2 linked regions of the Oryzias latipes genome follow. The protein of the gene in region 1 purifies or fractionates together with the protein of each later gene. This does not show direct contact. Links are inferred from orthologs where the notes say so. Each region holds a gene or a part of one and is shown in the gene's direction. Other genes may lie near its edges.

Region 1 (4,859 bases):
GGATGGTTGACTTTCTTCAGGCTGAAAGAAATAATATTAAATAGAGCTACCACAGCTATACAGCACAAATAACAAGACCAATTTCTTTATCAGGTAACCTGTATATTGGGAAAAATATCTTTGTTAGCTTGGATTTTACCTTAAAGGTGACAGGAAGGACTCTCCTATTTAATTTCCTTATTTGAGCTTGCTCCTGAAGAAATTGATTATATTCCTTTTTCAGCTCGTCTCTCAGTCTTTTCTGTTGCAAAAAAACCCCAAAATAAATAAATAAAAGGTATGAACAAGGCAATATAAAAAAAAAAATAGTGCACACAAGGACACACCTTTATGGATGCTCTATCATCAATAGGTAAGGAAAGCCCTTGGTGTTGTGGATGAGGTTCACAGGTTTTTAAATCGTGTTCCTTAAAAGGTACATGTAAGAATAAAAAATAGAAAAATAAGTTGGCAGAATGGAGAATCAGAGGTAACACAGTCAACAAAAATTCTCTTTAAATGATCCTATAATAATCGTATGATATCTGACCTTGGCTGCATGATATTTGAAGTCCAGCCGCAGATCCAGAAGAGGTTTCTGTTCCTCCATTTCACGCTCTGATACTAAGCCTCAGTTAAAACCTAGAGAGAGAGAAAAACATAGCAAATAAATAGCCAGTATAATTGGACTGATTGAAAATTAAAACTACCACAAATACTTCATCTTGTTTATGATAAGCTATATGGTTCCATATTTTGTGGATGCTAGAGTTTTACAAAATGCACATCACCTGCAAATGATGAAAAACATTCATACAGAAAGTTAGTTGTCCAAGGTCAGATTCAAGAACTTTCTCAGCATACAGGTGCATGCAAATTGAAAGTTAGGTGTTTTCCATTATAAACTCAAACAGCACAACCTGGCAGTGAACAAAGCTATAAAAATGAAACCTTAGATGAAACTCTAACTCTAAAGGATACATACTTAATTAATTAGACATTTTTATGACTATTCTGAATGTTTTCGCCGCACTAAAATGGCAACGCAGCAAGCGTTGCTATGGGCAACCGTGACACAAAGGTTGGCACAGGCTAAAGAAGTTAGCAAACACGAAACCACAAAAAACTCCGTATATCTAAAGTTTATGTGGTAATCATACAAACTTAATCGCATTTCAATAAAAATATCTTTGAAAATCCTAAACGTGCTTTCTAAGCTTTATAAGATGACAAACACGAAGTAACATTGATGTTTTACCTTTACTCTTGACCAATGACGTTCGCTAATGTGTTTTTTCGAGAAGTTTTTTTTTTTGCAGCATTAATAACTGTTATCTCCCATTAGGGTCTTTATTAGATATACAATGCATTAAATAAAAAACAAAGTTCTAAAAACAGGATAAAAAATATTCTCAAACCTGTCTGCTTTTTACAAGTCTCACCGCTAGATGCCAGTGCATCCTCAAGTGTCTGCTGACGTCTCTTTTGGACTAAACCATTATCAGAGGGGTGACAGTACCAGAATTGATGGGTACATTTAGCAGAACTTTTAACTCTTACATAAATTGTATTGATTTTTTCAATATATTATTAATGATCCATTTTAATACATAAAGATACGAAACTTCGACTTTTGTATTTTTCCAAATCAACAAAGAAAGGTTCAATCTTTCGACGTCATTGTTTTGGTATCGTTCCCTGTCATGGCTGCCGTTGCAAGAGAACGTCTGGCCCTGTTACTTTAGACGGATATACACAATTTCTTTGTTTGTGTTGTTGTCACTGACGTTCGAAACGCTTATTCTTCGTATTTTGAATTGACACTTTATCATGGCTGGAAGTAGTACAGCTCAGAAAACGTGGGAGCTGTCGAACAGCATGCAGGAAGTCCAGAGCATCGATGAAATTTACAAATACGACAAAAAACAACAACAAGAAATCCTCGCGGCGAAGCCGTGGACAAAAGAGTACTTTCAACCTGATTGACTTCATTCCTATTTGTTGTGTCGCGTAAACTAATTGTGTTTTCTTTTTCTCAAATCATTAGTCACCACTACTTCAAGTACTGCAAAATCTCCGCGTTGGCCCTGCTGAAGATGGTGATGCATGCCAGGTCAGGGGGGAACCTGGAGGTGATGGGTCTCATGCTGGGGAAGGTGGACGGGGAGACCATGATCATCATGGACAGCTTCGCTTTGCCTGTGGAGGGAACAGAAACCAGGGTGAACGCGCAGGCTGCAGCATACGAATACATGGCTGCCTACATTGAAAACGCCAAACAGGTGGGATCATGTTATTTTATTGTAAAAACATACACCAACACTGAAATGACACAGCAGCAATTACTTCTTCTTGACAGATTACACAGTTCCTGGTGGAATTGTTGAAAAACTGTCTCTTATTAAGATTTATTAGTCATAGGTTCTGTGTTCAGTATGTCAATATGTCTATTGAAGTGTTCTAATCTTTTATTTAGTTTCTATTGTCGTTATGACTGTTCTTCTTTTTTTTTTTTTGGTGGGCTACAGGTAGCCGGAATAAGTCCAGCCTGGATTTTCTTGAGTTGCTGTCCCGCTGTTTCCAGTTATCTTTGGGGATAGCAGAGCATTTATAATATTCATTTTTTTGTTTTTAAAAGCTTAAAAATAACTTCTATCCCCGACTGACCTATTGAAGTCTGTCTATTTCCTTTCATAAATAGTTTCCGTATTTTTTAGAAACTAAGCAAGCCACGTCAGATTTAGTAAAACCTTTTCATTGTATTAAACAATAAACACTTTATAATATTGTATTATAAATAATTATGAATAATTTTGTTATATTTATCTTTTTAACCCCCCAGGTTGGCCGTTTGGAGAATGCCATTGGCTGGTACCACAGTCACCCGGGTTACGGATGCTGGCTGTCAGGGATCGACGTGAGCACTCAGATGCTCAACCAGCAGTTTCAGGAGCCTTTTGTTGCTGTTGTTGTACGTATAAACTTTTATAACGTTATTTTAATGTAATTTCCTGCTAGTGGAATTTTTAAAAAATGAGGAGGAAAGTTCCTGTTTCGTCTTTAAAAAAAAAACATTACAAGAACGTAAATGAAAATCTATTAATGCATTCACTGCATGTTTTGGCATTGCACTACTGACTATTTTCCTTTTGCAACCCCATATGCTATTTACACGTCCTTTAGTTCAGCAGGGCTTCGACGCCAGGGGCGTCGTATAATTAAGTGTGTGTTTTTTTCACACTGACAGCTGCGGGAAAAAGGCTCCTAGTGAACTGATTCCAGTGGTCTCTGGAGGATTCCGACCTTTGACTTTGTTTTCCTGTTTTACTGTATCTTGTGTCCTACAGATCGACCCCACTCGGACTATTTCTGCAGGGAAAGTCAATCTAGGTGCCTTCAGAACATACCCAAAGGTACAGCAAAGACCAAGAGAAACATGGTGTTATGACTTATTGAAGTCATAAATTAAATTTTAAGTTCGAATCGTTGATGTTAGTTTTTTTAGGAGGGATCTGAATAAATATTTGTCATAAATATACATCAGAATGTCTTAATTTGTTTACTTGTTAATGATTAAACAAATGTGCTAATTCTTTTTTTTTATTTTGTATTATTTTTTAACATTTTCCTTGTGGATTTTCAGGGTTACAAACCTCCAGATGAAGGACCATCAGAATATCAAACAATCCCGCTGAACAAGATAGAAGACTTTGGTGTTCATTGTAAACAGTGAGTAAATTTAAAGCACTAAACCACTCTTAATAAATCAATCAATCAAACTTTATTTATCAAAACTTTATGTATCAAAGATGCATATATTTAACATGCTCCTGAATTATCTTTTTTTTCAACTCTTTATGATTGTCTCTATTCAGATATTACGCCTTGGAGGTGACTTACTTCAAGTCTTCTCTGGATCGAAAGCTCCTGGAACTCCTTTGGAACAAATATTGGGTCAATACCTTAAGTTCCTCCAGCCTTCTTACGGTATGTAAGCCACCTCAAAACTCAAAATGTTCACTAATTGTTTGACATTTTGATTTATGGTTAATTATTACTCTATAACTCATTCAGACATGGAGTCAACATGTTGTGATGTGTTGATTTATTGCTGCTTTTTAGCTGGCCCTGCTTGTTTATTGTTTTTAGTAATAAGGTCTTTGTGAACTTTGGAGCAGAAGAAGATGATGGGTATTAAAGTTGGACTTGACTCCACTCATCCAGAAGCCCCCCGCCCCTCGAGCACAGTTTTTTCTAAAGACTGAAAGGCCGTCACATGAATTTGCATTGTGGTCCTGAGCTGGGTTAAATAGACACCAGGCTTATCTAAACAGTTCACTCGCTGGCATTCTGGATGAAGATGTATTGACTAGATGTCAAGAAGGAGCTGCTCAGTAGGTGACGGGCTTTGTCAGTTGCTACACTGTCACCCTAGTCAGGCCCCCCCCATGGCATTGTGTTTTAATTACCTGCTCTACTATAAACACAGCCTCACCTTAAGCAAACTTCTCCATGACTTCTTTTCCTTCGGGACAGCTCAGAGATGGTTCGATTTGTGGCTAGTCTGTAACAAGTTCTTTCTATGGAACACTCTGTTATCTGGCTTTTGTGTGATAAGTGTGCGTACATTGGTTTATTCTGTCTCTTGGACGGCCAGAACTCGGACTACACCACGGGTCAGGTGTTTGACCTGTCGGAGAAACTGGAGCAGTCGGAGGCTCAGCTGGGCAGAGGAAGCTTCATGCTCGGGTTGGACACGCATGACAGGAAGTCAGAGGACAAACTGGCCAAAGCTACTCGAGACAGGTAAGCCTTTAAATTTGTTGCTTTCCTTTTTTTACTGCAGATTATACATATTATGGTAAACATTAGGTGGCCTA
Region 2 (4,359 bases), about 14 Mb from region 1:
GACCAACCCAAACCGCTGAGCTGCACAGCTGCATTCAGTTGTGCTGTTATCCCTGCCTCTGCTGCTGCTGTTCACCTGCATCAGGTGTGTTTCTTAGAGGGGTTTCCCCAGCAGGGCTGTTGGAAGTAAAGCAGGAAAGTGGCCCTTAAAGACCCACTCACTGGAAAAGATAGATGTTTTTGGTGTTTTTAACATGTTTTTGTGGCTTTTTCCTCATGATGGAGGATGTAGATGAAGAAAAACAAGCTTAAAGTTACATTTCTGAGTATTTATTTATTTAAATGGTTGTAAGTCAGGAGTAGAGGAACGAATGCTGTTTGGAAACAATCGTATTTGTGATGTAGAAGCTGCACTGGGAAGGCTACAGTCTTCCTGCTCCGCTCCATTCTGATCATCCACTGTCAGACAAACAGATCCACGAACGTCTTTGTTTCCATGGTCTGAACTGGAATCTGGATCAGAACTGGACGGATGGACAGCTACGATATTGCTAACAATTTTTGTTGTACCGCTAATGTTAGCTTGGGGTTGTGAGGAGCTTTAAGATAGCGGGATTATGCACGGAGGGAAGAGGGGCGGGGTTGCTCCATGCCAACAGTCTCGCCCACAACTCAGAGGTGAATTGCTAATGAACTCCTTGTGTTCCCGAGTTCACTGTGTATGTGTGCATCGCTGCCGCTGCTGCTGCTGCTGCTGCTGCTGCTGCTGGGCTTCAGCCAGTGAACGGTCCAGAGGACTTGATGTGTTGATTCTTCTCCTTCAGGCCCACAAGGCGCTCCTGGCGACTCAGAGTGACTACTTCCGGGTCATGTTCACTGCAGACATGAGGGAGAGGGACCAGGACAAGATCCACATGAAGGGGCTGACGGCCGCCGGCTTCGGCCACATCCTGCGCTTCATGTACTACGGCTCGCTGGAGCTCAGCATGCCCACCGTGCAGGAGATCCTGCAGGTAACTGGATCCCCGCCACGACACAGAAAGCTGTAGCTTTACCAGAGCTGACGGGATACACCTGTTCTGACCCGGCAGGCGGCCATGTACGTCCAGCTGACCGAGGCGGTGGAGTTCTGCTGCTCCTTCCTGCTGGCGAAGATCTGCCTGGAGAACTGTGCTGAGGTCATGCGGCTCCTGGAGGACTTCAGCGTGGGCGTGGAGGGCGTCCAGGAGCAGCTCGACAACTTCCTGCTTGACAACTTTGTGCCTCTCATGAGCCGAGCCGACTTCCTGTCCTACCTCAGCCTCGAGAGACTGCAGGTTTGCCACAGACAGACGCTCAGCGCGTGCATGAGGCCGCCGAACGCTGACAGCAGGTCAGGTCAGGCAACAAAATGATTCAGTCAAACGATGAGGAGAAGAGCTCGATTCCATCTCATCTTTAAACCTAAACTGGTCCTGAAACAAGAAGCTTCTCCAGCAACAGGATCTGGGTGTAATCTGGAAATGCCGCTCCTCTCTGAGGACGCCCTGAGTTTTTGCATCGTGTTTCCATGTTCTGCTTCTTTGTTTGGGTCCAGGATCAAACGCTAAAATGATCCGTTTCTGCCTCACCACACAGGCGTTAAATGGTAAATGGCGTTTACTTGTTCAGCGCTTTTCTACCTCCCCCGAAGGTCCAAAGCGCTTTACAGTCACAGTCCCGTTTCACACACCGATGGCGGCTCCGCTGCCGAACACTGTGGCCAACCTTCCACCAGAGGCAAGGGGGGGTTCAGGCAAGGCAGGAATCGAACCTGCAGTCTTCCTACCAGAGGTCGACTGCCCGCTCTCTGCACCACGGCAGCCTTTCTAGCTCACCACACAGGCGTTAAGCGTGCCAGATAGGAACTGTCAGTACAGAGAGGAAACCAAAACATCCGATTTAGGCTGAATTCTGATGAAATCCTCGGACTCAGCAGTGTGATTTTTGTTTGTGTGTCTTTTTGAGAACAGACTTGATCATTTGAACTAATTTAGGTCAAACTAAACGTAGGTTAAGCAGCCAGCAGTCGTTGCAGTAAGGTCAGAACCATAATGCATCTCTCGTGTTTCTGTCTGAACAGGCGTACCTGAACAGCGACGCCCTGAGCCGTTTCCCCGAGATCGAGCTGTACGAAGCCGTCCAGGCCTGGCTGAGACACGACCGGCGGCGCTGGAGGCACACGGACACCATCGTGCAGTCCATCCGCTTCTGTCTCATGACGCCCGCCAACATCTTCGAGAAGGTGGTGGCTGACACGTTTGCAGATTTGTGGTTTATGTTTTGACTGCAGCAGATGTGGATCTCTGTGGTTTTCAGCTTAGAGGAGCAGCTGTTTCAGCTCCACCATCAGTTTCAGAGAGCAGAGCTTCCCCTCTCTGTGGGGCGCCTTCATGAAGTTTAAACCCAAAAGAAGCTCAGAATGTCACCCCTCTGAATGACTGCCCTCATTTATATGAGTGCATTGCAGCTCCAGCTCATGTCTGTCTCTCCCACTGTGGCTTCTCTCTATATTTCCCTTTATTACAAGGCGCTGCTACCCATAATGCCTCCCACTCTGCAGAACACCATGCATCCCTTCTGATGTTCTCTAATGTTTTCCTCTCAGGTGAAGACGTCTGAGTTCTACCGGTACTCCAGGCAGCTGAGGCAGGAGGTGGATCAGGCCCTCAGCTACTTCCAGGATGTCAACCAGCAGCCTCTGGTGGAGACGCAGTCCAACCGCATCCGCTCCGTGCGGCCGCAGACGACGGTCTTCAGGGGGATGATCGGCCACAGCATGGTCAACAGCAAGATCCTGCTGCTGCAGCGGCCAAAGGTCAAGAACAATCCTTCTTGTAATTCTATCTGTATTTGTTATATTTAGATTAGTTTAAAAGTCCTTTAAATCCTGACTTCTCTTCCTTTAATCTATTCATTCAGCTGTAACGGAACAGAATTTAGTCGTTGTTATGCGTCTGCTCTGACCGGCGGCGCCTGAACGCCTCACTGACTCTGGTTGCAGGTGTGGTGGGAGCTGGAGGGCCCTCAGGTGCCGCTCAGACCGGACTGTCTGGCCATCATCAACAACTTTGCCTTCCTGCTGGGCGGGGAGGAGCTGGGGCCCGACGGGGAATTCCACGCCTCCTCTAAAGTTTACCGTTACGACCCGCGGCAGAACTCGTGGCAGCGCATGGCGGACATGTCCGTGCCCAGGTGAGGGGCCGAGGAAACTGCCGCCCTTTGACCCCGCGACGCTCTCTGACTCCACCTGGTGTGTGTGCGTCGCTTGCAGGTCGGAGTTTGCTGTTGGCGTCATTGGAAAGTACATCTACGCGGTGGCGGGACGCACCCGAGACGAGACCTTTTACTCCACCGAGCGATATGACATCACAGAGGACCGCTGGGAGTTCGTGGATCCTTATCCTGTCAACAAGTACGGCCACGAGGGGACGGTTCTGAGCGGGAAGCTGTACATCACCGGCGGCATCACCTCATCCTCCACGTCCAAGCAAGTGTGCGTGTTCGATCCCGGGCGGGAGGCGGGCGGCGGCGGCGGAGGAGGGAGCTCGGGCGGCTCAGATTCACACAGGACGCGCTCCGGCCGCGGCCCGCTGCTGCCCGGCACGCACGCCAGCTGCTGGGAGAACAAGTCCAAAATGAACTACGCTCGGTGCTTCCACAAGATGATCTCCCACAACGGGAAGCTGTACGTGTTTGGAGGCGTGTGCGTCATCCTGCGAGCGTCTTTCGAGTCGCAGGGGTGTCCGTCCACAGAGGTGTACGACCCCGACACCGACGAGTGGACCATCCTGGCCTCCATGCCCATTGGGCGTAGCGGCCACGGGGTGGCGGTTTTGGACCGACAGATCATGGTACTTGGCGGTTTGTGTTACAACGGCCACTACAGTGACTCCATCCTCACCTTTGACCCCGACGAAAACAAGTGGAAGGAAGACGAGTATCCCAGGATGCCTTGCAAACTGGACGGTCTGCAGGTGTGCAGCCTGCACTTCCCAGAGTACGTGCTGGAGCACGTGCGGCGCTGCAGCTGAGGTCTGCTGCTCCACCGAGGAACCAGGTGTTCACAGGTGGGGGGTGGGGGGACTTCTGACGCTTTCAAACCAGAGACCAGCACTTACTTAGAGGTGAGAAAACGCCGCTCTTCCGAACGAGGGCAAAGCGCGGCGCTGCAGGCCGCCACATTTTAACCGTCTGCTCGACCCGTTTCAGAATTCTCCCTGAAGCCGGTTTGTTGGTTTTTGGGGTGAATCCCTCTGCTGGTTCTGTTTCCTGTCCCCCCCCCTCCACATGTTGTGTGTCGGCTGTCTGGGCACGCTGCTGCAGAAACGCACTGGAAGCAGGACTCCACGTCAGGCATCAGACTGCCTCCTCAGGTCAAAGGTGCCGCCAGATGACAACC

The links.
Region 2: the proteins of cops5 (region 1) and klhl15 purify together in Homo sapiens (affinity purification with mass spectrometry; 3 studies listed by BioGRID and IntAct, with this or other methods). This does not show direct contact. The link is inferred for Oryzias latipes from reciprocal best matches to the Homo sapiens genes COPS5 and KLHL15.

Annotation. Positions count from the first base shown.
Region 1 is NC_019878.2:17,008,580-17,013,438, forward strand, and holds the start of cops5 (COP9 signalosome complex subunit 5), read left to right. Parts: upstream 1-1,660; 5' UTR 1,661-1,809; coding exon 1,810-1,946; intron 1,947-2,026; coding exon 2,027-2,261; intron 2,262-2,821; coding exon 2,822-2,950; intron 2,951-3,326; coding exon 3,327-3,392; intron 3,393-3,622; coding exon 3,623-3,708; intron 3,709-3,854; coding exon 3,855-3,966; intron 3,967-4,636; coding exon 4,637-4,785; intron 4,786-4,859. Other genes in the region: cspp1 (centrosome and spindle pole-associated protein 1), read right to left, coding at 1-21, 140-241, 327-407, 530-589. UniProt on the Homo sapiens protein: Probable protease subunit of the COP9 signalosome complex (CSN), a complex involved in various cellular and developmental processes.
Region 2 is NC_019878.2:2,975,710-2,980,068, reverse strand, and holds part of klhl15 (kelch-like protein 15), read left to right. Parts: intron 1-763; coding exon 764-952; intron 953-1,030; coding exon 1,031-1,255; intron 1,256-2,040; coding exon 2,041-2,202; intron 2,203-2,565; coding exon 2,566-2,775; intron 2,776-2,961; coding exon 2,962-3,152; intron 3,153-3,231; coding exon 3,232-3,991; 3' UTR 3,992-4,359. UniProt on the Homo sapiens protein: Substrate-specific adapter for CUL3 E3 ubiquitin-protein ligase complex.